Linked DNA regions of Rhinolophus ferrumequinum. Each later gene encodes a partner of the first gene's protein in a complex. Links are inferred from orthologs where the notes say so. Each region holds a gene or a part of one and is shown on either strand. Other genes may lie near its edges.

Region 1 (10,194 bases):
ACTAAGATCAAGCTACAAAATGTATATTTTGTTTCTCCAACAAACATTTTATCGAAATCATCAAAGTATTGTGATGTTTTAACATTATCATACTTCACTGGTCATCAACAATTTATGTGCTGGATAACGCTCCCAAGGAGTAATTATAATATAAAACCAAACTGCCACTGAACGTTGGTTAGCTAGATTTTCTCATCTTCATAACTATGCAAATGAAAACGCATACATACACATAAACAAGCAAACACAACCCAACAACTTAAATACTGCATTCTCAGTATGAAAATCTCACGTTCGACACAACGTGTGGAGGATTAGGCGAACAGCACGTGCTGAACATAAACGTGCCGACATAAACGGCCAGGGCGGGCTTTACCTCCCTCCTTTGGGCCACTTCACACCCGACTGGCCTCTTGTAATTCCCTGCATGCCATTCTCCCTTCCTCTGCCAGTTTAGCGTCACAGTTGCTAATAAACCGCAATTCTGCCTTCACTGCACCCCTTCTATCTCAAGTAAAAGCACAGTGGGGCCAGGAAGCTCAGTGAGGCAGAAATGGCACATGGAAGGGACACACACCCAAACCTACACCCTCCCCTCAAAAAACGAAAGTTGATGGCAACAGGCTGTCACTCGTCATTACCATCAGTCCGTCATTCGCCGCCCGGTCCTTCAGGAACTCCTCCTCACAATCCTGGGAAGCCCCGAGAAACAGAAGCAGAACACACATTTTGGCATTTACTCCGACTAGTCTCTTCTACAAATGCTGGTGGTAGTAGAAATACTTGTCTCACCTTGCTCCACCCCCATACTCTGACTGATAAAGGTAGTGACTCGGGTCCAGCTGAACAGTCATTAAAGTGGTGAGACACACAGAGGAAGAACTCTCACATAGTAGAGTAGCTCCATTCCTTCTTTAATTAAGGATGGCTCCAATACCAGCCTTCTCTCCAATAAAAAAACAAAATATAGACTGATGACTAAATTGTTACGCAACTTTTAGGCTGCGTGGTTTGATATGCATTCACACGAATACAAGATCTTTACACTTCAATAATTAAACAACAAAACAAGTCACAAGCAATCTAACCCAGAGGTTCCGAGATCTGATCGTCTTCCTCATAATCTTACCACTCCAAAAAGTTTTATCAACATTTTGCCATTTTCCATATTAATCCACCTATGACACTCCTATTTCTGTAACAGCAGACAACATTCATAGAATCAAATTCCTAATTAAAAGAAGCCATGGAAAACAAAATGGATTTTTAAAATAAAAACACCACCAGAAAGGTAACCAGAATATACTACCTAAAATGAAGTTCTACCATATAATATTGGATTTTATTTTTGCGTGCTGTTGGAATCAGGTGGGGGACAATTTGGATTTGTGTCTGTATTTTTATGGAAGATGGTAAAACTGAATTATCAGTGATCAACCCCTCCTTGAAAAAAGGCTCTTGGGAAGTACAGTAGTAATTACAGAAATCTATAACCTACAAAAATTGATCAAAAGAAAAAACTTTAGTAAATATTCAAAATAAACATTTGTAATATACAAATAAAGATTAAAATAAAACCAAATTATAAAACCAAACCCCATTCTTAAACTGGACTTTCTCAGCTATTCTTTTATGTTGACTTTATGAAAATTTATAGTTTAGCTCAGCATCTCATTTTATATGCCATTAGAAACAGGAAGAGACCTCATTAATATATTTTAGAATGTAAAGCACAAGGGGAAAAACTGGTTTAAAGAACCTGCAGTCTGAAATGAAATAAAGTGAAGTGCCTTGAAATAAAAAAACCAAAGTCCCTTTTGTTACAGCAGCAAATTATTTCTAGCAGCAAAATTATTTCATGACAAATTCTATATTTACTAGAGAAATGCCAATAGAAAACTACATGCATTTAGCCTGAATCTTTGTAATGTCATAATCAAAAGTAGTAGCCTATGTGGACAGCCCTCATTCAAAGAATACTTTGGGGGGTGGGGCATGGGGAGGTAGGAATGGAGGTGCATTAGTGTATGGGAGATATACCAGCTACGAAAGTAATCCTTTTTAATGCCTTTTAGAAAAGTACATCCACTCATATAGCAGAGATGTGTCAGACCTCTTTCCTACCTGCTGGCAAGATGCAGCCCAAGTAATAAACAAGCAATAGAATCTAAATTGTACAAAGAAGTGAATAACTATACTTCAAACAAGAAGTCTTTAGGAAAAACTGTCCACAGGAGCAGTTATTAAGCATGACTACTACATTTTATCTGACATAAATAATACAACCTTGTCAGAAAAAAAATTTAAGACTTCCCTTACTTGGGGGAAAATATTTTTATACGAAGATATTTAATGACAAAAATGCTTAATAAGAGTTATATGTAGTTTAGTTCATTATGTAAAGAAAAAATATAACGCTGAAAAGGAAATATGCAAAAATGTTAACAGTAACCAAATATAAGTGGTAAGATTACAGAAGATAATTTTTAAAAATTTTCCAGTACTTCCTGCATTTTACAACTGCTTTTTTTAAAACTCAAAACAATTGACATTCATTTATCATATAAGCAAACAAAGAAGTAAGTGCTTACAAAACCAACACAGGTTCTAAGCTGCTTCCACAGATCGTATGTTTAGGACTTCAAATACAGCTGCCAATTACTTCCTAGTAATTTCTTAAATGTACAAAATAAAACTAAAGACTTTTGCTCCTGGTTCTCCTATAACGATTTTCATTACTAAAAATTAATTTAAAAAAATGAACCTTTCCATAAAAAGGTTCTATGTCACTTTCTATCTCAGAATATTAGTAACAATTTGATTTTGAAAATCATCAATTTAGATTGCTTTACATAAATGCCATCTCAAAGAGGTAAATTATGTTCAGCTGAGTAATTCCAAAGTTTAGACACCTAACACACAGTGCAAGAAGTTTTGATGCAGTTTAGTGAACTGCACCAACAGAAATGCCTTATGTGCAGACGAGCTTATTTTAAACACATCTTTCCATTACCTCCAAGAGCCTGACATCTAAGGAAGCTTTTTGCAAAAGGTTCTTTGCTTGGCCTGGACATGGATTCATTTGAATATCCCGGAAGCTGTCAAAATCGATCTCAAACTGCATTATATTCAAGACACAGAATGTCAACTCTGTACTGGGCCTCCTCCTCTCCTTTCTTTCACAGCAGCGCCTTCAATATCCCGACTAGCTTACATTTCCGGGCTCATGAGTCACTGAGAAATGAGTTCTAGGTTTCCCTTAAACAGCTCCTTTCTAGCATTCAAGGATCTGGCCCCCAAATACCTCTTCAGCCCACCCCCACTTCCCACCATGGGCCTAAGCAACAAACTGAGTTATCCACTATTTCTAGCCTATGCCTTTTTACCTTTGTCCTCTAGCTCTGCTGCCCCTCCACATACCGTCTCTTCTGCAGCCCTCCTCTCACAAATCCTTTCGAGTCTTCAAAACCGCCTTAGGCACCGCCTCGCCCAGGAAGCCTTCCAGATTTCTGCTAAGCGGAAGTGATCGATCAATCGGTCCAGTCTTCCCTGGGTTCCTTTCTAGCACCTTGTAGTTCTTTCACTGGACTTATCGTCTCCTTCCAGGTATCGTGTTATCTGTGTACTAGTCTTATCTCCCATACCAGAGCTTAAACTCCTTGGGGGAGGCGACCGCGGCCCCGGGTTCACCTTTGAATCCCTCCGGTGCGGACCGACCACGGCGCCTGCACGCAGTCAGCGCTCAGGCTGTTTCAACCGAACTCGGGAACGCTCTGGCCGCACAATTCCTAACCAGAAATCAGTTAGGCATTTTCCCGAAAGGGACATCACAGAGATGCTACCTGCCTCCAGATAACAGAAAGTTTACCAGGGGCCAGGAGCGAGGTGGCCGGAGCCCGTGTGCGGTGGGAGTGACAGCTGAGCCGGCCCGCACTTCTTTGCCCTCCGTACTCCGGCCGGGGACGCCCCGAGCCGCCAGCCCCGCCGGAGAACGGCAGAGGGGTGGCAGGAGAGCCCGGGGCTCCCAGACCCCGGCCGCAGGCCCCCGGGCGCCGCGCGGGCGAGAGCAAAAGGGCAAGCCTCCGCGAGGGGCCTGAGCTGGCCCGGGTCGGGCCGCCGCGGCCACCCGAGAAAATGGAGGCAGCCCCGGGGCCGGTGACGGGCCGGGGCAGGGCAGGCGGAAGCCGGGCCGGCGTCCGCGCCGCGAGCTGGGCAGGGCCGGGGGTCACTCACGGGGCTGGGCCGAGCGGCTCCCTCTCCGCCTCCGCGTCGTCGCCGTCCCCGTCCTCGGCCGCCGCCGCGTCGGGCTGCTCGCTGGGTCCCCGCGGCGCGGCTCCGGTGCTCGGCCCCTCCGTTGTCTTCCGCCTGCTTCGACTCCCGGCGACGGGCTCCCGCGGCGGCGGCGGCGGCTGCGCGGGCGGACGGCGGCCCAAAGGCTCCCGCGGCGGCCGCCGCACTGCTGCGCTCGATCGCCCGGGTTGCGGCTGCGGCTGCGGCTGCGGCTGCTGCAGGACCCGGCGCCGCCTTTGCCTTCGCCTACCCCCGGTTCCCCGACTCTCGGTCTCTCCCAGGCCGCGCCGCTCCCCGCTCCCGGCCCGAGCCCGGCTTTGACGTGCGCACTGCGCAGCCTCCCAGGGCGCGACGTCGGGCGGCGCCGCAACGCCCCCTTTGGCCTCGGGCGCCCCCGGGCGTCCGGGAGGACTCAGGGCGCCGGTGTGCGCGCGGAGGACGAAAAGGGAGGGGACACAGAAAAGCAGAAGCCGAGGAGAGGAGTTCCTTTTCTTTCATCTGCCACTTAAATGTGGGTGCTCAGCCCCCTTCTAGTCTGTCTAAGCACGCTTCCTGGAGGAATCTCACGTCCATTTTCTACGACCACTTCCTCAACTCTTAACAAAGCTTTATTTCTGCTCAAGACGAAGGGCCAACTTTGTGTAGACCCAATCTGTCATACTTGCGTGGGACAGATCATTCTCATTTTAGCATCCTCTGAGAGAGAGCGTGGAAAGTGATGGAATGATCCAGATTAATAGCATTCAACAGCGGATTTAAACCCCAGCTCCACTCATTTAGTCCCCACGGGCCGTTTCCTGTCCCTATACCTGGGTTTCTTCACATCAACGCGCGCACAAAAGTGTAATACAGGACCATAGGCTTATGAGGACGAGCGAGAAAATGAATTCCAAAGCCCAGAGAGCAGAGCAGAATCTGGTACATAAAAATATCATCCATGTGTATTTTTGTTTCTGTTGCTTTGTTTGTTTTTAATTTGTAATTGAACAGGTATTTTCGAGCATCTACTGTGTGTCAGGCACTATTTTAAGGGGTAGGGCAGTGAACAACACAGTCCATGCTCCCGAGACAAACAATAAACAAATAAACCAGCACAAGCATGACCTTGGATGGTTTTCAGTGCTATGGAGAAAAACAACATAGGCCAAGGAGGGGAGAGAGGGCAGGGTATGACTATTTATAGCTCTCCTACAGGGAACAGCTACATGAAGAGCATGAGGTGAACTATGTGGGATGCTTGGGATGGCAGAGGGAACAGCAAGGACCACCGCTGGGAGCTGGGAGCCCAGGAGCCCGGCAAGGCCAGACTCCTGAGGGAGGGAAGAGGGCAGAAACAGTAGAGGGTGGAAACCCTACAGACTGAAAGGAGAACTTGGGTTTTTAGTCTGAATGAGATGAGAAGCTATTTGAAGAGTGTTGAGCAGAGAAAGGATGTGGTCTGACATTTCAAAAGGATCGCTCTGGTTGTGTGAAGACCAGCCTGAAGGATGTCAGGGTGTCAGCCATCCTGTTAGAAAGCTTTTGAAATAATCCAGTGCACAGAAGACAGGTCCAGCATGGTAGCTGGGAGGGGTAAGGAAGTGGTTGGGTTCTAGACACTTTTAAAAGGTAGAGCTGACAGGATTTTGCTGATTTCTAAGGGTTTTTTTGTTTGTTTGTTTGTTTGTTTGTTTTTCTCAAGCAACTGGAAGATACAATTTGGTGAAATGGGGACGACTTAAAGAGAAGCAGATGTGAAGGGAGGAACTCTGGAATATATTTGGGGGCATATTAATTCTGAACTACTTGCTAGACATCCAAGACATCCAAGTAGGAAGCTGGATATAGAAGTCAGGGTATGGATGAGACGTCCATACCTGGAGAAAGAATTTTGGGAGTCCTCAGAGTAAGTAAAATCTCAACACTCAATGAAATCATTTAGGGAGTGAGTGTTAATAAAGGGCAAAGCCAAGGATGAGCCTGAGGTGCCAATGCTGAGGTCAGGGAGATGGCAAGGAACCAGCAAAGGATTCTGAGGAGAGGAGCTAGGGTGGCGGGAGGAGGAGACCCAGGAGACTGTATGTACTGGAAGACCAAGGGGTGGAGGACGGATCAATGCCACTGATTTTGACTAATAGTTGAAGTAAGGTTGGTGTTGGTGACTGGTCATTGATGGCAGTGTCATAGAGGTAACTAGTGGCCTTGGTAAGAGCTGTTTCAGCAGGGGTGGGTGGAAAAGCCTGATTGGAGTGGTCTTTGGAAAGAATGTGAGACCCAGAAAGATGTCTAGAAAGAATGGGGCTCTAGGAAGAGAGAGACTATGAGTATAAACAACTTTTCCATGAAGTTTTATTCTAAAGAGGAGGAAAGAAATTTGATGGTAGGTGAAGGAGAATATGGAGTCAAACAGATTTTTTTGTTGTTGTTTTATTTCTCTTTTTCATTTTCGCTTTTAGGATGGAAGCTATTACAGCTGGCTTAAGTGCTGATGGGAGTGATTCAAGTAGTGAGGGAAAATTTGATGGGAGGGGCCACATTTTCTGGAGAGCTGTCCTTGAGTGAGCAAGAAGAGAAGGTTGCAGGGAACAACAGAGGGTCTGGCCTTGACACCAGCAGGACGGCCTTCACTCACAGGGACAGAGGGCAGGCAGATTGTGGGCTCAGAGGCAGAGAGCCCGATGGACGAGGAGCTGGAACAGGTGTCTGTTCCCTTCTGAGGGTTTCTATTTTCTCAGGGAAATGGGAAGCAAGGTCATCAGCTCAGAGTGTGGAGGGGGAGGAGCTGTCGGAAATTTGAGGGAAGAGGAGAAGGTGTAAAGAAGGACCAGTCAACAGGGCTCACATTTTGTTGGGAAGGTGCAGGCGCAGGAAGGTGGGGAGCTGGATTCAACCAGGGCTATTTTTGTTAGGTAACTCCATGGAGCAAGAAAGGACAAAGGAAGGAGAGGGTATATGCAAGGAAGTAATAATAATAATGGCCAACTGTTGAATCCAAGCCAGACTGGAGGCCGTGAGGAAATGGGGGGCGGAGGTGGGGGCAGTGAAAGGGGAGAAACCCTGTAAAAGTGGTATGATGGGTGAAAGGATTGTTGGAACTAGCACAGTAAACAGAGTGAGCTAGGATGAAGGATCTGCTGGCTGGAGAGCCAGGCTGCTTATACTGAAATTAGGACAGGAGCAGTTTTCAGTAAATAACAAGGCTTGGGGCAGCTTCTCAAACTCTAATGTCGGTGTGCATTACCGGGGAGCATGTTGAAATGCAGACAGTGGTTTCATTGGTCTGGGGGAGGGGAGCCCGTTATTCTGCATTTCTAACAAGTTTGGAGATGAGGGTGGGAGGGTGCTGATTATTCTTCTTCTGGTTGTAGTCTTGATAGCAAAACCTCGATAAATGCGACCCCCAAAAAAAGAAAACTACAGCAATCTTGCTGGTGAATATATAGGGAAAACCAAAATAAAAAGTTTGAATATAAGTAAAATAGCAGCATTTTAAAGGTCAAGTCTGTCCCACCATGGACAATTTATCAAGCATATTAGAAGCTGTTAGAAGAGCCATAGCTGTCTAGTGTCTGTCTAGGCCCAGAGAGAAATCAGCTGACGAAAAGTCCTGAGCAAGCTGGTTCCCGAAAAGCAAAGACTCTTTAGTGACCGCGGAAGGGAGGTGCTGGGCCCTTTTGAGTGAGCAGACTACAACAAGTTTTATCTAATTTTGAAACTTTGTTCAGTAAGGACTTTAACCCCACAGCTTTTTTTTTTTTTTTAAGATGAGAGAGTTCTTTTTCATTGTAGTCCCAAAGGGAGACCTTTATTGTGCTGACATCCCACAAAAATAAGTCAAGACCCAATTTCCCACAGACTAAAAGAACGCATGGGGGTGGATAATCTCATATGCAAGGTTTTGATTCCTTTGCTATAAGGGTCTGAACTGGATTCCAGATGAATCTCTTAACTGGGATAAACCAGCCCATTATAGCTGAGAATTGTAGCAGCAAGACGGCAGACATTTCTGGAACAAATTCTGAAGCCAAAGCATAAGGACCCCTGTCATTTGACCACTTGAATTTACTCTGGGGAAGACACCGTTCTCCCTCCTTTCCCTGGGCTCTCTGGAAAGCCCATTCTATTCATATGTTACTTTGTAGGCACGACCTCTTTCTGAGAATTTCCTCCACCTCCTCTTCTTGAAACCCTCTCCACAGAGGCTCCTCACTTTCCCCTCCTGATCTCAAGGTCATAGGCAAGGTCATCATTTTCTGGAGTTAGTGTTGGTCCTGTGTAAATCTTCCATCACTCTCATTTCCCTTCCTCTCCTCCACTGAAGCTGGGCCACAGGATGAAGGCACCTCCCTGCCTCAATCACACCACCTGTGAAAGGACTTTAGCGCATGATTCACAGCTTCCTTCTCCACCCTACCCTGTGCCTGACTTCTCCTGGGCAACATAAGTGCCACTCGTCTAATATGTTGGGTCATAGTTCCCTCATATTCTCTGCCCCAGTGATCCTCACTTCCACTCCACGTCAACAAGCACTTGCTTAGCCCCACCCTGGTCTGTCAGTCACCACTACTGTACCTTTGAAGCTTGAACTCTAAAACTCTCCTGCTTAATTGCTCCTCCCACAGCTGTAAACCCACCAAACCTGCTCTAAAGCTCATTGCATCTTTGTTTATTCAACAAATACTTATTGAGAGCACATAATTACTGGGCACAAGCAGTCTGGCTGAGACATTGAACAGCACACAGTCCCTGCTCTCAATGAGCTTGCAGTCCAGGAGAGTCAACAGGCAATTACAGAAGAGTAAGACATGAAGCATGAGTAAGATTTAGCCAGTTGAAGATGGGAGTAAATGTTCAAGGAAAATCATGGCAATAGCGCCAAAAGCTGGAAAACACAGTGAATTTGAGTAGTTCAATCTATAGAGCTTAGAGCTGGAGCTTGAGGAGGGGAATTTTTTTTATTGCTAGTTCTCCCCACCTCCAGCTTTACTGAGCTATTATTGACATATAACATATGTACGTTTAAGGTGTACAATGTGAAGATTAGCAACATGTTTGTATTGGCAAATGATTACCGCAGTGAGGTTAGTTAGCACCTTCATATCCACACGTAATTACGATTTTGGGTGTATGTGTATGGTGATAATATTTAAGAGCTACTCTCTTACTAACATTCAAGTCTATAGTACAGTATTGTTGGTTATAGTCACCATGCTGTACATTAGATTCCTAGACCTTATTTATCTTCTAGCTGGGAGTTTGCACCCTTTGACTAGACATCTCCCCATTTCCCTCACCCGCAGCCCCTGGGAACCACCATTCTACTCTCTATTTCTATGAGTTCAGTTCTTTTATTTTTTATTTTATTTTCCTCCCTTCTTCTGCCTCCCCCCCAACTCCAGTTCAAGCTGTTGTTTCTCAGTCTAGTTGTGTAGGATAGGACACAGCTCCCTGGCCCACGCTGGTGTTCTGAGCCTTGTGCTGTCCCCCCCACCCCCATGAGGCAGTCGGTCGGCCGCTCACAGCAGCCCACAGTAGCTCTCGCCGGCTGCCGGCCACTCATGCTGGCCTCCGGCCACTCACGGTGGCACATCGGTGACCTTGGTGCTAGGAGCACTGCACTCCAATCACCTGAGCCACCAGACCAGCCTGAGTTCAGTTCTTTTAGATTCCGCATATAGGTGAGAACATCCAGTATTTGTCTTTCTCTGTCTGACTAATTTCACTTGGAAGAATGCCCTCAAGGTGTATTCATGTTGTTACAACATGGCAGGATTGAAGAGGGGAGTTGGCACCAGATAAGGTTGGAGAGATAAGCAAAGGTCCAATAATGAAAGCCACATCATCCATGTTAAGAACTGGGCTTCAACATGAAGGCAGTGCAGGTAGGTTGGGTGTGAAGTGGGCATTGAAACTTTAAGGCATGGA
Region 2 (9,668 bases), on another chromosome or scaffold:
CACCAAGTATCTGCCAATCAGCGGAAGGTGGTCTCGGCCTTGCTTGACCCAGCCTGGACACCGGTGTGTCCATTCGCAGAGCCACCACCCCTTGCCAAGGACCTGGCCACACAGGGGGCAGACCACCCAAGGGGAAGGGACAGCCCAGGTGGCTAAGCACATCATACTACGTCATTTCCCAGACACGGACGGCAGGCACTCACCAGAAACGATACTCAACAGAGAAGAGGTTGACACTGAGCTGCCATGGACGCCAGGCTGGATAGGCTGGGGGACCAGCGGTCTGCAGCAGCTTATCAAATACATGCATGCTCCCTGACCCAGAAACTCCACTTCTGGCAACTTGCTAGAAGTGGAATCGAGGTGCAGCGTCTGTGCAGCTGTCCTGGAGGCTATCCTATAACCTGCAGGGCTGGACCCACTCACTGCCTGTCCCCCAGAGTGAGCCCACCAGGTATGGAACTGTCTCTACCTGCAGGAAACCCTGCTGCCCCCAGATAAGAGGGAGCGGGGGCAACCCTGCAGACGCCTTTTATGAGCCTCATCTGTGCAGTTCTACTGCCTAATGGAAAGAGAAGTAAATACAACTTATTTTTAAAAAGTGATCCTTAGGAGAGTTACACTTTGCATTAAAAAGTCCTTGGATAGGGTAAGAAAACACAAATGAAAATGGAAGATGTGTTGACATTAAAATTATGATTTTTTTTTTTTTTTTAAACATCCTAATGCTTTTTGGAAGAACAAATGAGAAGGGACAGGTGCCTTCCTGGAGGAAGCCCCATGAAAGGAGGGGCATTCCAACCTGGCCCAGCACCTGGGCAAACGTTATTTCAGAAAAAGCTGGAGCCGGCCCAGGGGCTCAGGCGGTTGGAGCTCCGTGCTCCTAACTCCGAAGACTGCCGGTTCGATTCCCACATGGGCCAGTGGGCTCTCAACCACAAGGTTGCCGGTTTGACTCCCACAAGGGATGGTGGGGCTGTGCCCCCTGCAACTAACAACGGCAACTGGACCTGGACCTGGAGCTGAGCTGCGCCCTCCACAACTAAGATTGAAAGGACAACCACTTGACTTGAAAGTCCTAGAAGTACACACATTGTTCCCCAATAAAGTCCTGTTCCCCTTCCCCCCTCCCAAAAAAAAAAAAAAAAAAAAGCTCTGATCCAAACTGGAGGCCAGCTTGTCCGGAAGGTTCCGGACAGTCCAATAGGAGAGATGACTGGAAGTGGAGTCTATTCAACCTCTGGCAGACAAAGGAGCCTTTTCCCCCTGCAGCCTATACACCCCTTCCCTTCCCCTGGGCACCACAGGCCCATACGAGGCAGGCCCACTGCATCACCAAGTAGGGACTTGGTACAACGTGGCAGGGGCTTAAGCAAGATCGCAGCTGCCACCAGTGGACAGGACAGCTCGGGGCCTGCACTGCACTGATGAAACTGCGTGCTGGCACGGTGCACTGCGCCTGACACCTTATGCTGTCTAGTTGGCTGCAGACCACAAACCACTGGCCTCCCTGGCCTCAGTTTCTCCTCCAGTTCTTCCCATGGACACTGAGGGACCCAGCTGCATGCAGCCCTGACACCACACACCCACGTCTCCTGAGGTTCTTGGGATCTCGGCTGACCCCTGAGGAAAACAGAAGCTGGACACCAGCCATTCTGCAGCCTTCCAGCCAGGTTCCAGTCATTTGTGTCTCCAGTAGAGCAGGAGGGAAGTTCTTGACGGTGAAACACCCTCGAACTTGACCTTGGCACGTGTAAACTGCGTCCTTACATCTTAGCAAGGGGGACCCTCGCCCACTCCGACACTGCCCCCATGGCAGCTGGGGTCTGCGGACCTTTCTGGGACCTGCTCAACCCTGCTGCCACCAGTCGGTGCCCTGGTCGGGTCTACACCCTGAGGCACCCCTGCAATAGGCAGCAGGGTGGGCTTGGGTGACTAATTAGATCAATTGGTGCTGGAATCCCTCCTACCTCCGGGTGCTGCTCCTGAGGGGCCTGGGGTGCACGGCATCAGTGGTCTGCACCAGAACACATCGATGGACCAGTGCCCATTCCAGGACAGATGCGGGATGAAGCCCAAGAGGAATGGGCACTGTTCTCCAGGCCAGAAGAACAAGGGCTGCCCTGGAGAGCGGGAGGTGGGGGGTTCATTTCCAGAGGGGGGCAACATTCTGGATGTAGGAGCTCACTGCCCTCAACCCAAAGCTGTGGCAACCTGGCAGCTTAAGGGCCACATTGTCCCCATGCGCTTCTGGCTTAATGAGAAAACCTGACGCAGAGGCCAGCAGTCCAGTGGGGGTTTCTAACTTGAGGGTGAGGCTCACTTGGCCCTCAGGAGGGCTCAGTCGTTCAAGGCCTCAGTCTCCCCCAGGACACTGCCCAAAGCCCACCTCACAGACGCTTGCGCAGAGAGAGAACTGACCAACTGGTCCTAGGATACGGGCCACACCTCCCAGTGTCCACAGGCTGGGCTATAAAAAGGCCTCATCAAAACACGGGCCCACCTTGCCCGCTGCCCAGCCCACATGCCCACCTGCAGGCTGCTCTCAGTACAGACACTGACCAGAAGCCCTGTCAGTTCGGCCCCAGTTCTCTGCTCCATGACCCATTTCACCTCCCCCAGGCTGTCCCAGAGCCAGTGAAAACAGCTCCGCTGGCTTACTGGGTGAGAAGGAGGGGATGAAAGCAGAGCCGGTGAGTGGCACTTACAGAACGGGCGTGGGAACCAGCCAAGGTCAGAGTCAGTCCTGCCACCTAGCCCGTTAGATAAACCCCTTCTGGGAATGTGGAGGCTGCGAAGAGTCTGGGGTCGGCAGGATACTCCCTATCACGCAGTGATAAGCAATGGTGCCCCTGTCCTGAGACCAGCTAGAGGAAGGAGGCAGGGCCGCCCTTGAGGGACTCCTATGCGCACATCCCAGCACGGCCAGGATGCCTAGGGGCAGACGGTTCATGAAGAAATTTGTGTAGAAAGTTCACCAAGACACAAGCAATTCCCCTCTGGGAGTCACTGGGCCTGCAGTCACTAACGTCTACTATCATATCCCAGGCCGGCGGGGAACGAGCTAAGTCCCCCACTGCTGACTGATAAGCCGGTGCAAACAATTATTTTTGGCAACCCCAGGGTTCCCCTCCAACAGGATAAACAAATCGCGTTTGGCCTGGCGCTAGTACCGGCTGCTCGCTGCGCGGAAAACCTGCTGGCCGCCAAGGCCGTTTCCGTGCAGAAACTCAGGGCCAAACAAGCACTGGCTGGTTCCACCAGACACCTAAGTGCTTTGGCAAAGCTGGGAGGACGAGGGGGGAGAGGGACATACTCCTGCTGAGGAGGGCTTTGACACTGGCGCCCAAGAGCCCAAAAGCACCAACGCCCAGCAGCAACCAGCTAGCTGACTTTATGAAAGTACTTAAGCAGGTTTCCAACGACACTTTCCCTGGCAAGGAGGACACAAGAGGCGGCTGGTCAGCTCAGGTTTTTAAGGAAAGAAGGAATGGAGGAGGGAGGGAGAGAGGGGAGGGCAAGAAGGGAGAAGGAAAGACGGAGGGAGGGAAGGAAGGAAAGGGGGTGACCCTGGTGCCCCGAGGCAGGAAGCCCAAACTTACTTCTTCACGTTGGCCTCCCCATTGGGGATCCTCCGCAACTTCTTCTTCTTCAGGATTTTGACGGCTCTCCTGCACAGCGTCTCTGAGTCCAGCACCTCCTTAACTTTGCCGTAGGACCCTTCCCCCAACAGGTCCCCCATCAGGTACTTGCCAATGAGCTTGGCCCGCTTGCGGCGGGGCTGGTAGATGACCTCGGTGGAGTCGATACGGTGGATGAACGTGTCCATACCCACCGACATCAGCTCGCCCTCTGTAAACATGCCCAGCTGCTGCGGGTCTGCCACATCCATCCTGGACCCAAGGCCTCTGACTCCCACTGCCGGCGGTCCCTTATCCCCCTTTATGGATTCCCCCGTGAGAGATTCTTCTTTTTGTCCCCCGCCCCCCCCCCCACAAAAAAAATTCCCTTCGCTAAAAAAAGTCAACAAAAACGCAAAAGAAAAAAAAGAGAAAAGAAAACCCTTCTTCAAAAAGAAACGATTGTACTAAACGTAAGTTCAAGAGGCGTGCCTGGTCCGGGCCCCAGGCACCCGACGGTGAGGAGCGTCACAAGTTTGGGTGCCACCCGGCCTGGCAGCTCCAGGTAGGGCCGGCGCGTCCACGGGGGCCCTGGAGAGGCCGGTGGGGCTGCGAAGTGCTAGGTCATCCTCCAGGGACTTTAGACCCTCGGACAAACACGGACGCGGCCGAGCCAAGTCTTCTCCGGGCCGTCCATTACCGGCGGGCCACAGCGCGCGCCCGGAGCCCCGCCGCGGCCGGCCGGCCCCGGGGCCCCCAAAGCTGGACAGACGAGCTTCGCTGGGGACCAGGGCGTCTCGCGGCAGCCCGGCCGTCCTGGGCGTCCCGAGAAGCGGCAGGAGCCTATACGGCTCGGTCCGCTACCGCCGGCCCCGGGCGCGCGTTGGGTGGTCCGGGGGCCGCCCGGGGGCCTCCCGGGGCCCTCCCGGCACAGGGAGCAACTTCCGTAGGATCCGGCCTGGGACCCCCGAGCGGTTGCGCGGGCCCGGCGAGCGCTCTCCGCCCCAAACGGCAGCCTGCGCTCGCTCTCCGCCCCGAACGCCGTCGGCCGCGGCCCTCGGAGCGCGGGGACCACACGAGGCTCCGGGCGCCCGAGAAGGCGCAGGTCGTAGGCCCCGGGCCGGAGGTTCCCGAGGCCGCCGGGGCCCGGGCGGCGTGTCCCCCGCCGCGGCCGCCGCACGCGTGGAGCAGGCGGGGCGGCGTGGGGGCCCAGCCCATGCAAAGCGGCTACGGTGCCGCCCGGCCCCGCCGCCGCTGCAGCCCGCGCCCCCGCCTCACTCGCGGGCGCCCCGGTCCGCCTCCCCCTTCCGCGCCCGACATGCCGTCGCCATCTTGTTTACCTCCCGCCCCCGCCCTGAGCCGCCGCGCCGCCGCACACCGCTGCGGGCCCACCCCTCGCGGTGCTGACGTGCCCGCCCGTTGGCGGAACGGACATGCCCCGCCCCCAACCCTCACCCCACCGCCTCCTTCGATTGGCCCGTTTGGACCCGGGCGGGAGCTCGAGCGGGGATTGGTTCGCACTCGGCCCCGCCCCAGGGGTGGATATGGCTCGTCCATTAGCCCACGGAGGCGCCCGTCATGGGGCGGGCCGCGGGCGTGGAGCGGTGAGGTTGTGGAGTTGACCTCGGAGGGGTTTGGGCCTGGGGTCGGAGGTTGCGAGCGCCATCGGCCTCCTCCGAACAGCTGTGGGGTGGGTGCAGTCCTCGGGGGACCCAGCAGGATGCCTGCTCGGGCCCTCTCTCCGCAGACACCCCGCCTTGAGTTGAGGTCAAGGGTCAGAAAGTAGCCCCCAATGGCCAATTCAAGGCAAAAAGCCTTGATTAAGCATCTGTGGGGCAGGAGTGAAAGGGAGGTGCGCTTGACTGTGTCTACCCTAAAGGAACTCGGATGATGTCTAGGGCGGCCTGTGGGGGGGTCTCTGCTCCCGCTCCCCACATAAGAACGCAGGACATGGTATGGCCAAAAAGGAACACCCATGGAACCATAGATAGGGGAGTCACACCACTATAGTCTCACTGGAGGCTGGATTCACAGGACATGTGACCTGCTGTCCGCTTTTCTGCCAACCAACCAACTCCCACTCCCCAGCCGTGGCAGTTATATTAGTGGCCAATCGGCTAACCGGCTACAGCTGACGGCCAACTAGCCACAGCCAAGGGCCATCTACTACCCGAGCCAGCACCCCTCCACGTGAGGCCGTGAGGCCGAGAGCCTGGAAACTACTCTCCGGGGCTTCGTCCCCACAGATGAAAACAGAACAGAGCTGGGGCTGTCCCAGCAAAGTGCTGTCATGCAGCGTGTCATGCAGGATCTCTGGTCCCACTCCCCACATACGAACGCAGGACATGCTATGGACAAAAAGGAACACCCACGGAGCCATAAATAGGGGAGTCATACCCACTATATTCTCGCTGGAGGCTGGGTTGGAAACACAGGAAGCAGGAGCCACACTATCTGCAACCTGCCGATCACCTCTGCGCCAACCAATCTCACTTGCTACCTGCAATCCGCCGTGCTAACTGCAAGCCGCTCTCGCTAGCTCAGCCACCATCTTCTTGCTAGCCCCCATTTTCTGCTAGCATAGCCACGGCAGTTATATTAGTGGCCAATGGCTCACTGGTTACAACTGACGGCCAACTAGCCACAGCTGATGGCCATCCAATCACAGTTGATGGGCATTTACTACCCGAGTGAGCACCTTTCCACATAAGGCCGAGAGCCTGGAAACTGCACTCCTGGCTCTGTCCCCACAGTGGTTTGGGTGAAAAACAAAAAGTTCACAGAATACACCTTGAAGTTTAAAATACCTCCCTTGTTCCAGGCCCGTATTTTCTACCTTTCTGCTTTTTAGCAATAGATTATTTTGCCAGAACAAACTGTCTTGTGTGAAGCTCCTGATTCACAATAGTCAAAAAGTGAAAAACACTGGAAGCGGACACATCGGATTTGGGTTCCAGAACCCCAGGCAGGGGGTTCTGAGTCCATGAGCTGTGAACTCCGTAAAACTGAAAAATTGAGTGTCTCCTGTGCATGTTGTTGGGGATGGGTCAATCTGTTGAGTTACATCAGATTCCGGAATGACCCACATAAGGGGGACTAGCGTGGTTTTGGGAATAGTAGGAGCACAAGCTGCACCAGCTTATCAGCAAGCCCCAATCAAAATACGTGCATCAGCCTAAAACTCCTTTAGAGAAGGAAATCATAAAGAACAGAACAGAAACCGAGGAAATAGAAAAAGAATAGGGAAAATCAATGAAACCAAAACTTGTTCTTTGAGAAGATCCAAAAACTTTTACAAAACTCTAGCTAGATTGGCCAAGAAAAAAAGATGACTGATGCCAGGAATGAAAGAAAGGATATCGTCACCACAGACCTTGCAGATATTAAAAGGATTAAATACTAGGGACAGCTCTACATCCATAAATTCAACATCCTACTTGAAATGGACTAACACCTTGAAAGACATTAAAATGAAGACTTTAAGAAGAACAAATTGTCTGCATACCGTGTTTCACCGAAAATAAGACCTAGCCGGATAATCAGCTCTAATGCATCTTTTGGAGCAAAAATTAATGTAAGACCCAGTCTTATGTTATGTTAGATAAGACCAGGTCTTATAGTAAAATAAGACCAGGTCTTATATTAATTTTTGCTCCAAAAGACACATTAGAGCTGATTGTCTAGCTAGGTCTTACTTTTGGGGGAAACAGGATAGTCTTATATCTACCAAAGAAATTAAATCTGCAGTGAAAAACCTTTCAACAAAGACAATCCTCAATAAAAGGTCTCCCAGCCAACTGAGAAAGCAATCTTTAGTAGAAACTGAGAATGCACTCCTCAGAAGTGCAAGAGTCTGACTTAATACAGTGAGACCTTCCCACCCCTAGTCACTGATTGGCTCATTTCTATGCAAATAAAAACTCCAAATCGGCAGTTTGATCCAAATAGTACCATTCTGATTGGTCAGTTAAGATGCAAAAAGGGATAGAGCTGCACAGTGTAAGTCTGAGTCCTAATGGTCAAACTTCCATCCTAGGAGCTCTCTTGTAAGGAAGGGTTGACTCGCCCTGCAGGAGCACAGTGCAGGAGGCTGGCAGCCCAGTCTGTGGATTTTCTCTAACAGCAAACATGCAGCCTGGGTGAGAAGCCCCTGTAAACAATGGCTGCTTGACTCTGGTTATGAATCTGGGCCCAGTTAACCACAAGGAGTCCTTCAACACAAATAAGGCTCAGATGGTCTCATTGGGAAATTTCCACCAAATATTTCAGGAAGAAGTAACATCAGTTCTAAACAATCTCTCCGAGAAAACAGTAAAGGAGGGAACCCTGCCCAACCCAAATTACTTTTGGTGGTTTTTTTTTCTTGATTGCTGGCTTATGCCCAAACTTCTTGGCATCTGGGGGCCCCACTCTCCTTCACAGAGCCCACAATCCTCTCCTGATATGTAGAACATGTGGAAGGGACTTGGGAACTATCAGGTGGCCAATGCAGGTGGCCATTCTTCTCTTCCAAGAAGCAATCCTGGTCACCCCCTGGAACATAGGCCCTTTCTAGGCTGATTTTCTTCTTAATCCTTGCCTTGTCACCATCAGATATTGTCTCATTTATATATATATATATATATATATATATATATATATATAATCTTTTTTTTTTAACCCATTTTTCTTCTGTTTCTGGCACTAGACGGGGAGCTCTCTGGGGCTGGGGCTGGGGCTGGGACTGGGACTCTCTTAGTCACTACTGCACCCTCAGCAATGAGAGTTGTGCCTTCCAGTACAACAGCCATTGGCCACATATATCTATTAAGCTCCTGTAATATGGCTGCCCAAACTGAGATGCGCTATAAACTATACATTGGGTTTCAAAGGCTTATCATGAAAAAAAATGTATTTATCAATATATCATTAATGACTATGAAAAAACACAGTAATTTACACTGATTTCATGTTGAAATGACATAATTTTGGGTATGTTAGATTAAAAGAAATAAATTATTTAACTTCATACCCACTAGGATGGCTGTGATTTAAAAAAAAAAAAAACGGACAATAAGAACTATTGACAAAAATGTGGAGAAACCAGAACCTGTGTAGAAAAGATGTGGCTACGTTGCTAAACAGTCCAAAGGTTAAACACAGTGTTTCTGTATGGCCCAACAATTTCATGTCCACACAAGGACTTGTCCACAGATACAGCAGCAGGATTCACAGCAGCCAAAAAGTGGAAACAATGCGAGTGTCCATCCACAGGTAATGGACACACAGTCTGGCCCACACACTGGCGTGTCACGTGGCCATGACAGTGAGGCCGTGCCCCTCGCCGTAACGTGGATGCACCTGGAACACGATGCTCAGTGCGGTTCCATTTACGTGAAGCATCCCCAGCAGGCACATCAGAGACCGTAAGTGGGTTAGTGGTTGCCAAGAGCTGGGAGGGGGGATGGGGAGTGACTGCTGATGGGGACAGGCTGCTTTTTGGGGTGATGGAGTCACTTTAGAACATTCAAAAGTCCCCCCGCCTGCGCCCCCATCGTAGGTGAGCAGACTGAGACTTGCAGAGGGGAAACCACCGGCTCACAGTGGCACGGGGATTCATACCTGAGTGCCTAGCCTGGGAGCCCCCAGGAACCCTGTAAGGACTCCAGCACCATCTGCTCAGGGCGATGCAGGCCTTAGGGCTGCCCAGCTGTCTGTCCTGCCAACACAGGGTTCGTAGCAAGCATCAAACCCACCCAGGCAGGCCAGTATGGAACCAGATTTGGAGGGCCCTCCCCAGCATCATGGGGCCTGAGACCCCCGTGGGGGCTGTTCTCTGCCTCTCCAGGGACTCTCACTGGCCCCAGCTCTCTTCTCAGCAGAAGTCCTCAGGTGGGAGGTCTTGGCCTCACTTTCCCATTTCTCTGAAAGGGGAATTAACAATACCGTATGTCAGCAAATATGAGGCCACTGGTAGTGAGATCTACTAGTACTTCACGAACCACCATGAAAGGCAAAGACTGAGCAGCCAGCAATGACACACCGGGTTGAAAGAAGCAGCCTGATCTC
Region 3 (9,736 bases), on another chromosome or scaffold:
ATCTTAAAGTTCAAACAGTCCCAGTGACTGAGAAATCCTTATTTCATTGTTCTATTTTTTTTGGAGTTTTACAGAGGTTATGGATACATTGAAAGGACTCTGTTTCAGTCATTTTCTTCCAGATAATCAAATTATTTTGATTATTTTATGAAAGGAATGCTGTATGAACTCTGTAGTTTTAAAATATTTTTAAAATTATAACGAATCATCACTGCTTTTAGTGCTATGATATTTGAAGAAATATCATGAATTTATAGACACACAATTAGATCGTTGCTTTTTGTTTAAAATGGCAGTTTGAAATAGCAGTTGAAATGGCTATAGAGAATGCCTCTAAACCAAGATTCCACAAATAACTGTTGGAATTGCACAATAAACATTGCTTGGTGTTTTCTTCTGTGTCTACATTAAGCTTGTAAAAAAGTTAAATTTAGAACACTATCTGTGGTGTTGAAATTTCAGGGACTCAAAACAATGTAGTTCAGTGTATGTTTTGTAGGTGGCGGTGCTGATGACAGTATTATAGGATATCTGTAGACTTTAAGATGCTTACATGTATGTGGAAAATTTTAGGGATAGTTAGTACAGGAGCACAGTTTTCTCCTTACGTGATATAAGCTAATGACATCGTGAATGCTGTATTTTAAGTGATTGTATGTTTTTCTTGAGTAACAAGTGCATGAAAAATTAACTGCTTCAACCAGAGCAGATCAGTGGTCTGTGTGAAGTCACAAATGTTTTCCTTCTTGGTCGCTGCAACCTGTCGGATGTTCCTGGAGAGCCTCTATTCTCTGTGTTATGGCTGTGTCTCTTTGCTTCTCCTTCTGCTTTGATCTCTTCCACAGCTGAGGCTGGGTATATTCTTTCAAAGAAATAGCCATGAATATGCATAAGGATACTTTTAAAAATGAGCTTTCCTAAACTTTGGAGAGTTCTTTCTGCCTCTTGAGGGAGGAACTCTTGGGAGAGAGGCCCATCTATCTGCACAAGCATTTAGCTTGTTCAGATCTCTGCATTTTATAAATGCTTCCTTCTAAGAAAGCATTTTTTTAAGTCACTGCTTGTACCAGGTAATTTTGGGTGGGATGGGAAATGGTTGGGTTTTTTGGTGGGAGAGGGGTGGGCGGGTATTTTTTTGTGGACGCTTTTATGTGCAGGTGTGTCTGAGGCAATACCAAGCTGCTGTGGAAACAGCATGTGCTGCTGCCTTTGTAACTGCATGGAAACTTCACGTGGGGTTTTCTCTGGGTTAATGCAGAAATGTGTAAACTGGGAGATGCAAATGTAATATTTTTTTTTAACAGTTCATGAAATTAAGTTATTAAAATAATAAAAATAACATAAAATGTAATGCTATATAATTCTAGAATTAGCCTTGTTTTACAAACCTTTAAAGTACATTATAGAAATCACAATTGATAGGCTAAGTTATCTTTTGATGAAAGCTTTCTTAAAGTCCCACACATTTGGACCATGGCAGCTAATTTTGTAATGTAAGCATTCATATGCACTACCTATGGACATACATTAAACTCATTGACAAAAATCTCAGAGTGCCGCCTTTACTTTTCTGGGGTTTCCCTACAAGAGTATAAGCCCATAGGGATGTTCTTTCTAGTCAGTAAAAGTCACTGGAATGCTTTTCCTTCAAAAGAGTTGGCCTTGACAACAATCCCTTAATTCCCGGTTATTTTTTTAATGTTTTGTAGTTTTAAAGCCCTAGGTGTTATTAATGGGGTCCTCCCCGAAGTCCCCGTCTTGAGTTAAGACACCATTATCTCCTCTCCTATGAACGAGACGGCAAAGAGAGGAGAATGTTGTTGACTTGTCTGTCACATTGGGAAACCATTCAGCCCTCCAATCTTGTCTGCACTGCCTGGGCACAGCAGTGCCAAAGCAAGCACGGGACTGGAAGACAAAGGCCTGGCTTTTACTGCCACCAAAACCTATAACTAATCCTTTGACTTTGGACAAGTCACTGACTAACTTTTGAGTTTCTGTTCTGTTCTTCCTTTTACAAAGTGAGCATAATAATTATTTTCTCTCCCTAACAGGAGATAATAAATGTAAAATTCTCTAATAAATTACAGCATTTTTATCTAGAACTATTTTCCAAGTGGTGCACTTTTGCTTTACTCTGCTTTCCTTTCTCCCAATAGAAACCAAACAGATCCTTTTAGAGTTCTCTTTATCTGCAAAATTTGACAGGGTTGGTTTGTTTTGTTTAGTTTTGTTTGTGGTTTTTCTTTTTCCGTGGTGGGGGTAATAGTTTACAGTTCTGTTTCCTTACTCATAGAACCTTTTCCTGTCAAGTACCAGATGTGAAACTGTTTTCTTTAGATGGGACTTACACCAAAGAAAAACATTGATTTTTCTTTCTCATTCCACTCATCCAATAGTAATTGGCAATGTAAAAATTATTTAAAGCAGTGTCTACAAGAATCTGTTTTGATGGGGGTGGTGGTGAAATACTGTACTTTTATCGTGCTGGATTCTCTCTTCTTACTGTTCCTGCCTCCACTCATTTTGAATGATTTGAATGGGTGTAAGAGATGAGAAACAGTTATCCCTATAGCATAACTGTTGGTGATCAAAGATTTATTCGCATTTGGAAGTAAGTGTAAGGTTTTTATCTTTGCACAGTTGAATGTCATTTTCTCAGTTCTATGAACTGAGAAGTAATACCAATTTCAGGGGAAGCTAATTTTTTTTTTCCTGAAAGGGAGAAACTTGTGTCTATTACTACATCACTTTTAATGGATATTATTTTTTATTTCCATTTTTAAAAATTAACTGACCTCTGATTTCATCTATTTGGTTTTATCCAAATAGTGTAGCTTTATTTGTTTAAAAGATACCAGGCCTTTTTAAGTATTTACTTCTGTGGGAGTTATTTGGAAATCAGATAATATTACATCTGTCTAGGTTATTTATTGTGTCACCTTTGCTTGAGGGAGAACTCTTAAGTGCCTTCCTGTCACATTTTCAACTTAAATACTAAATAGCTCTTTCTTCTGCTTCTTTTTCCTGCATGTAACTGTATCACTTAGTAAGGTTGTAGCAAAGCTAGAATTGAAGCCAGTTTTCCACTTCAGGAAAGAGCCCTGGATTTATTGGCAGGAACCTGGAAGCTGTCATAGTGCTTTAACAAGTCTGTTTCCTCATCTAAATGAGCATTACCTACTCTCCCCTTTCTAAAATGCTGTTCCGAGGATCATATTAGATAACATGTATAAAGTGCTTTGACATATAAAATGCTGTGCAAATTAATCCTGCTAAACTTGTTAAACTACACATCATAAGCATTCCACTTGTGTGTTCTAGGCAATTAGTTTTACCTTTCATACAGTTATGTGGTATCTTGAAGAGGGCAGTGCCCTTAGTTTAAACTGGATGCTCAAAGAGTTACAAACAAAACAGGATCATCAGTCCATATCCACTCCTCTAGGCTTCAAGCCAGTTTCAGAATGCTCCAGAAATCTTGGGAGAGCCCCAACCCTTATTATAAGTAGGTGAAAAGCATCAGAGGGCTTGTGCATCGCAGGGATCATAATTCAAAAGCAAAACAGGAAAAGATTGACTGTAAATACTGCAAGTTGACCTTTTATAACGCCGGTTTTCTAAGTTTTCTGGACTTAGTCGGCCCTGGAAAACTAAACTTAATGGAAATTTGCTCCTTGAAACTGTCAGAACAGAATCTGGGTCAAAAGGTTCGCTATGTCGACGAAGAAACCCCCTGCCTAAGAGAAAGCTTGTAGGAGTTTGTTTGAGCCAAACCGATGACAATTGCTGGGAAGCGAAATCTCAAGGGATTAAGAAAATGCTCTGCAAAGGGGCGGTTTGCAGCTTATTTTATACATAGAATCAAAAGAGGAGGGTTACATGAAATCCATTAGTGGTAGATTAAGGGTGTGGGAGAAAGCAAAGCAGGGAAATCTCTGGGATTGGATAAAAGTAAATTGGAGAGACAGGTACCTCTTTTACATAGGAATTTTTTATGTTCACCCCATCTTATGTGGTTATTTTCAGTCTCCTGAGCTTGTCAGGTTTAACCTGTGGCCCCTTTTCCATCCTCATCTAACTAAGCTTTTGTAGGCAGTCATGAAGATGGTGAGATCTTTCAACCCCTTTGGTAGACTGATACCCAGCTAGAAAATAACATAGCTACTGGGCTATGAGAACAGATGGGAAGTACCTCCATGTTTAAAATTACTCATTGTGGTGGCTGCATCAAGTTTGGCGTCTTTGCAGGCACTGACTTCTCTAGTACCCCCAACTCCAAAGACCACATGGGAAGAAGGTTTTTCCAAAAGAACATCACCAACAATTTTACTTCAATTTCTGCTATCTTGTTTTGTCAATTTACGAAGTTTGCTGCTGAGAGAGGCATTGTATTTTGAGGATGAGAGAATAGTAAGAGTAGTGCTTTGGAATGTTAAACCACTAGATAAGATCAAAGTGATGTATATAAAATTGAATGAGACCTTGAGGTGCAAATCGGTTTACTGGCAAAGTTCATATTCAGTCTCAAAGTCACATTTCTGTCCCTGTTTAGATGTAACTGAACTCCCCCACCTTGGAAGTTAGACCAGTATAAATCTGTGTCAAGGGTCAGAACTAGGAAGAGCTTGATGGTATATATCCAATTTTGGAACTACCTCCTCCATGGGCTAAGTAAGTCAAGTGAATAAAAGGCAACTTCACAGAAGGGAGTCTTGCTCCATCACTTGATTGCTTCATCATTTCTCAAGCGCTGCCTGCCTTGGCTTAGGCTAGCTTTCCCATCAAGGCAAACCTTACAGGTTTCTGCAAACAAAACATGAGTTGCAAATGAGGAGTGATCCAGAAACGAAAAGATCCAGAAGGATAAAAATGATAGTTACCATTGATTGAGCTATTTTCTTCCTTTTACAGAGAAGTAACCTGAAGCAGAGAGAAGGTGAGTTTCCCCTTAGCACTTGTCAGTTTGGTGCCGGAGAGGCCAAAGTGAGGGGCTTTTGAGATGTATTCAATGAAAAGAGCGCGATAGGTTTTTTTCCCATTGAAGTCCTACCACACGAAATGAAAATAAAATCCTCAAAGTAGCCAAGTCAGCAGCCAGTGTTGGCTAGCCTTACTCTAGTCCCCTTGACTCTTCATGATCGAAATCATCTACTTCCTTCCTGCTGCGGGGGCGAAGGCTCTGGGGAGTCCTTTCCGAAGCCTGCAGTGCTCACCCACAAACTAGGTCTTTGGCTTCCACACACTTGGGGAAACGGGTCCCTTCTGTGGGAAACGGAATGCCTCTGGTACGCGCTGCGCGGAATAAGAACTCAACACCCGGAGAACGGCAACTCCGCGCTGTCGCTGCTGGGTGCCCGCGGCAACCGAAGCGACGGGAAAATCAGACGGAGCTTCCCCAACAGAGAGGGCCGGGAGGGCCGGGGCGGAGCTTCCCCATCAGGGCGGGGCGGGGCGGGGCGGGGCGGAGCTTCCTCACCCTCGCCGGGGCGGGGCGGAACTCTCCTCCAGCTCTCCCGGGGTCCCTCTAACTGCGCATGGCACGTTGCGTACCCCCCCCCCCCCAGCAACCGGCCGGGCTGCGGCGAGGATATAAACTGAGGAGGCGGAGCTGAGACGGGGTCGGGACTTCGTGCTAACTCCAGGACCAGGTACCGGACTGGCGGGGCCGCCTGCTGCGCTCCAGGGATCAGTCCCTCCTCTCCCTGACGCCGATTTCATCTCCTCGGGGCGGGCCTTCCTCGTCAGAGCGGCCATCCCGGCTCTCCCCCCTCGCCCTCCACGGCCCCCTTTTCACGCGAGTCCTCGATTCCCGCAATGAGGGGTTGCAGCCGGAAAGCAGAATAGGCTTGGGCCTGGCGGGGAGACCCAAGAGCGGAGTTGCTAGGCGGGAGAGGCAAGCTCCTGCTTTCCCGCCCCTTCTCCCCCACCACCCCCCAACTTCCAGGTGGCGTACCTGAGGCCCAGGTGTCAGTTTGTCCTGCTGTAGCGAAGAGGCGGCACCTCCCAGTGCTTACTTCCCGCCCCCTTCCCATTCCCATTCCATCCCAGGCTGGACAGGCAGCGGGTCAAGCCCCCTTAAGGACAGAAACCTAGGTGACTCCGTGAATCAGACACAACAAAGAGCTCCTAACTGTCTTGTTTTCCAAGAATGTTTAAGTGCCCACAGATTTGGGGAGGAGATGGCGGGGGGCGGGGGGTGTTGAGGGTAGGGAAGTGAACACGGGGGAAGGGGAGTGGTTAAATAAAATTGTTCAAGTTTTCAGGAGATGGGGAACTAACTTACTTGTCTAGCCTTCTGCTCAGATACCTTTTCATTTCCCAACTTGACTTCCCCCAAAAAGGATAAGCCTTTCGAATTGCTCCTTCTATTATCGTAGAATCCGTTCAAGTAGAACCATATTCCAGTACCTATTTGCAGCATAAGACAATTCTTCATTGACTGAATCATACTTTCTAGAGAAACCCAAGACTGTTTTCTTGTCCCTGAGAGTAGTAGAAACCAAATCTCACCTGATTACTTGTCTCAGGCCAGGAGCTATTCAGCCATTGCTATGGACCCAAAAGCTCGCCTTCCCGCCTGCTGATTTTCTCTCACCCTTCTCTCCTTCAGTGAATTTCCGTCACTTGTATTGTTTTAGCTGCTAACTCCCAGCCCATAGCCATCTCTAACCTCTCTCTCCAGCATCAGTCTTAACTTTTCTAACTGAATGCTATGTATATATTTCCACTTGGAACATATAATTGTTTTCTCAACTGCGATATGATTTAAAACTTCAAGCTCATCTTTCCACCAAAACCACTTCCACCTCTGAGCTTTCCTGTTTTGTGGTTGACACACTCTTCTTTTCCCAGTTACTTGGAGACAAAACACACACACACACACATTGGAGTCATCAGAGCTGATGATAAGGTAGTGAGTTGGAGAAGGTAGTGTCTGGTATGGGACATTTTCAAGCAGACTAGAGAACCTTATATCCAGGAGTTTGTAAACGCTTTTCCTCTAAAGGGTGGAGGATGGGCTAGAGATTTACTGTGTCCTTACTAACGAAACAAAATTTCTTTGTTTTTTTCTCCCCCATCCATCTGTTTCTTAACATTCTTTCTGCCACAGGCTCTTATCACCAAAAATATGGTTCCACTCTAATTGTATTCTAATTGGCATTCCTTTCTCTGGGTTATTTCCACGTCTCCTCCCATCCCTTTGCAAATTAATACTCCTTCTGTGTTCCTTAGAACAGGGCTTCTGAAATGTTAGTCAATATGATGGTCCACAGATCAGCAGCATTGCCATAATCTGGGAGCTTGTTAGAAGCACCAGGCCCCACTTGAGACCTTCTGAATCAAAATGCATTTTAACAAGATGCTCAAGTGATTTGCATGCACGATAAAGTTTGAGAGACACTACCTTATACCACTGTTTTGTGTTTGTCCCCTGTTCAAAACCTACAGTGGCTTTCTGTTGCCTGCTGAATAAAATCCATACTTGAGCATGCATTTAAGACCGGTTCATTGCTCTCATACATGTGGAGTTCTGCTTCTGTAACTGCTTCATGTTAACTGGAAAATATATGCAAAATGCTGACACACTCCTCAGCACTTTCGGTCAGCCATTCAATATTACTCTGTACCTACTATGTCGTAGGCACTATTCTAGAAACGGAGACACACCTGTGGAGCAGACAAAGTAAGCACTAAATTATCAGTGGCTAATACTATTTCCTGCTTGGAAATCCCATTCTAAGTCCTGTTTGACATTCGAGCCCCACCCCTTCATGAACCTATCCAGGTCCACCCATTACAGTAATCTTCCCCTTCACTGAACTCCATAAGGAGTTGCCCATTCGTGCTTGTGTATCTCCAGACCTGCCGAATTAAAATTTTTGAAGGTGGGGAGTTCAGGTATCCATAGGTTTTTAGAACTACACAAGTTAATTTGACACACATCCTGGTTTTGGAACCAGTGGTTCAGATCATTAATGAAGCTGTAGATGTGGCCGCCTAGAGCCAGTTCTTAGGTCTCTCCAAATGGGCAGTTACAGTAGTTTATGCAGTGTTTTGCAATTGGCTTTACTTTCTATTTCCAATATTTTCCCAGAGCATAGACAATTCTTTCTGTAGATAAAATTCATCTCTCGTCTACATTAATAGTCTCTCTCTCTTGTAGACTACATATGGATATGGACCTTGTTTCCCCTTAAATTTCTTTTGCATATTATTAAACAGTGTATATTCTACTTTTTTTTTTTTCCAAATTCAATCTATATTTTTACTATTTCATGGCAGGATACATGATTCTCAACACGGTGGGCAGGAGGCTTCTCTGAATTTCTCTGAAGCAGTTCTAAGGATTCCTAGAACTCGATGTACCAAATTAAGTCCCACCCCCATTGCTATATCACTACCATAACTCCTCACAAGCACACCTCAAAAAAAAGGGAAATATGGCAGGTTTTCTTTCTAGATTCTTCAAAAGCATTTCTGAGTACTTATTTCAGTCATTTTACTTTTTAAATCAACTTTATTGAGATACAATTTACCTACAATAAAATACACCTATCTTAAGTGTAGTTTGTTGCGTTTTGCCAGATAGAGTCATGCAACCACGACCCAGTTAAGATATGGAATATTTCTCTCGCCCCTGAAAGTTCTCATCTCTTTGAAGTTGGTCCCTCGTCTCACCCTTGATCCCAGGCAACCAATGATCTTTCTGTCACAACATTTAACTTTTTCTAGAATTTCATGTAAATGGAAACAATATGTAGATTTGTGTGACTTCTTTCATTTAATGTGATATTGTTGCATCTACCGTGTTTCCCTGAAAATAAGACCGCGTCTTATATTAAATTTTGCTCGAAAAGACACATGAGGGCTTATGTTCAGGGGATGTCATCTTGAGAAATCATGCTAGGGCTTATTTTCTGGTTATGTCTTATTTTCGGGGAAACACAGTAGCAGTAGTTTGTTCCTTTTTATCACTGAGTAGTGTTCCACTGGTGTATATACCACATTTTGTTTATACACTTACCAGTTGGTAGACATTTATTTGTATCGTTTCCAATTTTGGGCTATTGTGAATAATGCTATCATGAACATTTATGTACAAGTCTATGTGAACATATGTTTTCTTTTTTTTTTTTTTGAATTACCTAGGAGTAGCACTGTTGGGTCATAAACGATTAAACTATTTTAACATTCCCACCAGCAGTGTGTGAGAGTTCCAGTTGATTGATATCCTTGGCAACACTTGGTATTGCTACATGGCAAACCAAGGAAATGAAAAAAGGAGGCAGTTATTAACTTTTGGGAAAAAATGGGTGTAGAGAAAGAAGACATGGTCATCTTTACCTATTGGCTCAGCTACGAAGCATGTTTGCATAGTCAAAGTAATGTAAATGTGGATTATTGATTTAACCAAAAATTACGCCAGAACTATGTTGAAGGCAGGAAGGCAGAGTGCAGGCAGGTGACGCAGGGGCGCTTAGTCGTCATCTACCAGGGTAGGAAGTTAGTAGATGAATGTCTAAAATGAATAAGTCATGGCCATATGAACATTATTTAAGAATGGTGATAAAAAGGTTAAACAGCCAAGAGAATTGAAGGTAATTGCTTCTGGGAAAGGGTCAGTGGGGGGTTGGGCCAACAGAAATTTAAAAATTAAAGAAGAAAACCATATAATAATAAACTTTTCTTACAGAGATTGCAGTATTTCAGAATGTACTTGGCCTAAGTACCT

Evidence for each region.
Region 2: the proteins of CAB39 (region 1) and STK11 are in contact, whole or in part, in a crystal structure (PDB 2WTK), measured with the Homo sapiens proteins. The link is inferred for Rhinolophus ferrumequinum from reciprocal best matches to the Homo sapiens genes CAB39 and STK11. Residues at the interface, in NP_001124321.1 of Homo sapiens: Gln109, Gly111, Thr112, Lys196, Leu197, Leu238, Asp239, Arg240, His241, Phe243, Met246, Ile250, Val280, Ala283, Asn284, Pro285, Glu317, Gln318; in NP_000446.1 of Homo sapiens: Gln100, Arg103, Arg104, Glu165, His168, Ser169, Gly171, Leu201, His202, Pro203, Phe204, Ala205, Ala206, Asp207, Asp208, Phe234, Arg301, Ser307, Arg310, Lys311, Lys312.
Region 3: the proteins of CAB39 (region 1) and STRADA are in contact, whole or in part, in a crystal structure (PDB 3GNI), measured with the Homo sapiens proteins. The link is inferred for Rhinolophus ferrumequinum from reciprocal best matches to the Homo sapiens genes CAB39 and STRADA. Residues at the interface, in NP_001124321.1 of Homo sapiens: Leu26, Glu27, Lys28, Gln29, Tyr55, Gly56, Thr57, Asn58, Ala85, Asp86, Gln88, Leu89, Phe92, Glu93, Lys96, Arg107, Glu138, Leu141, Ile145, Ser176, Thr177, Phe178, Asp179, Ser182, Asp183, Glu221, Asn222, Tyr223, Val224, Arg227; in NP_001003787.1 of Homo sapiens: Pro64, Leu104, Glu105, Cys107, Ser108, Asn109, Val112, Gln116, Leu119, His120, Lys123, Leu124, Phe125, Asn126, Thr136, Phe137, Ile138, Asp140, Asn141, Leu143, Tyr185, Met189, His223, Gly224, Arg226, Val426, Asp427, Asp428, Trp429, Glu430.

Annotation. Positions count from the first base shown.
Region 1 is NC_046291.1:7,495,228-7,505,421, forward strand, and holds the start of CAB39 (calcium-binding protein 39), read right to left. Parts: upstream 4,599-10,194; 5' UTR 4,234-4,598; intron 1-4,233. UniProt on the Homo sapiens protein: Component of a complex that binds and activates STK11/LKB1. In the complex, required to stabilize the interaction between CAB39/MO25 (CAB39/MO25alpha or CAB39L/MO25beta) and STK11/LKB1.
Region 2 is NC_046301.1:61,655,545-61,665,212, reverse strand, and holds the start of STK11 (serine/threonine-protein kinase STK11), read right to left. Parts: upstream 4,144-9,668; 5' UTR 3,893-4,143; coding exon 3,603-3,892; intron 1-3,602. UniProt on the Homo sapiens protein: Tumor suppressor serine/threonine-protein kinase that controls the activity of AMP-activated protein kinase (AMPK) family members, thereby playing a role in various processes such as cell metabolism, cell polarity, apoptosis and DNA damage response.
Region 3 is NC_046304.1:42,345,802-42,355,537, reverse strand, and holds the start of STRADA (STE20-related kinase adapter protein alpha), read left to right. Parts: upstream 1-5,517; 5' UTR 5,518-5,651; intron 5,652-9,736. UniProt on the Homo sapiens protein: Pseudokinase which, in complex with CAB39/MO25 (CAB39/MO25alpha or CAB39L/MO25beta), binds to and activates STK11/LKB1.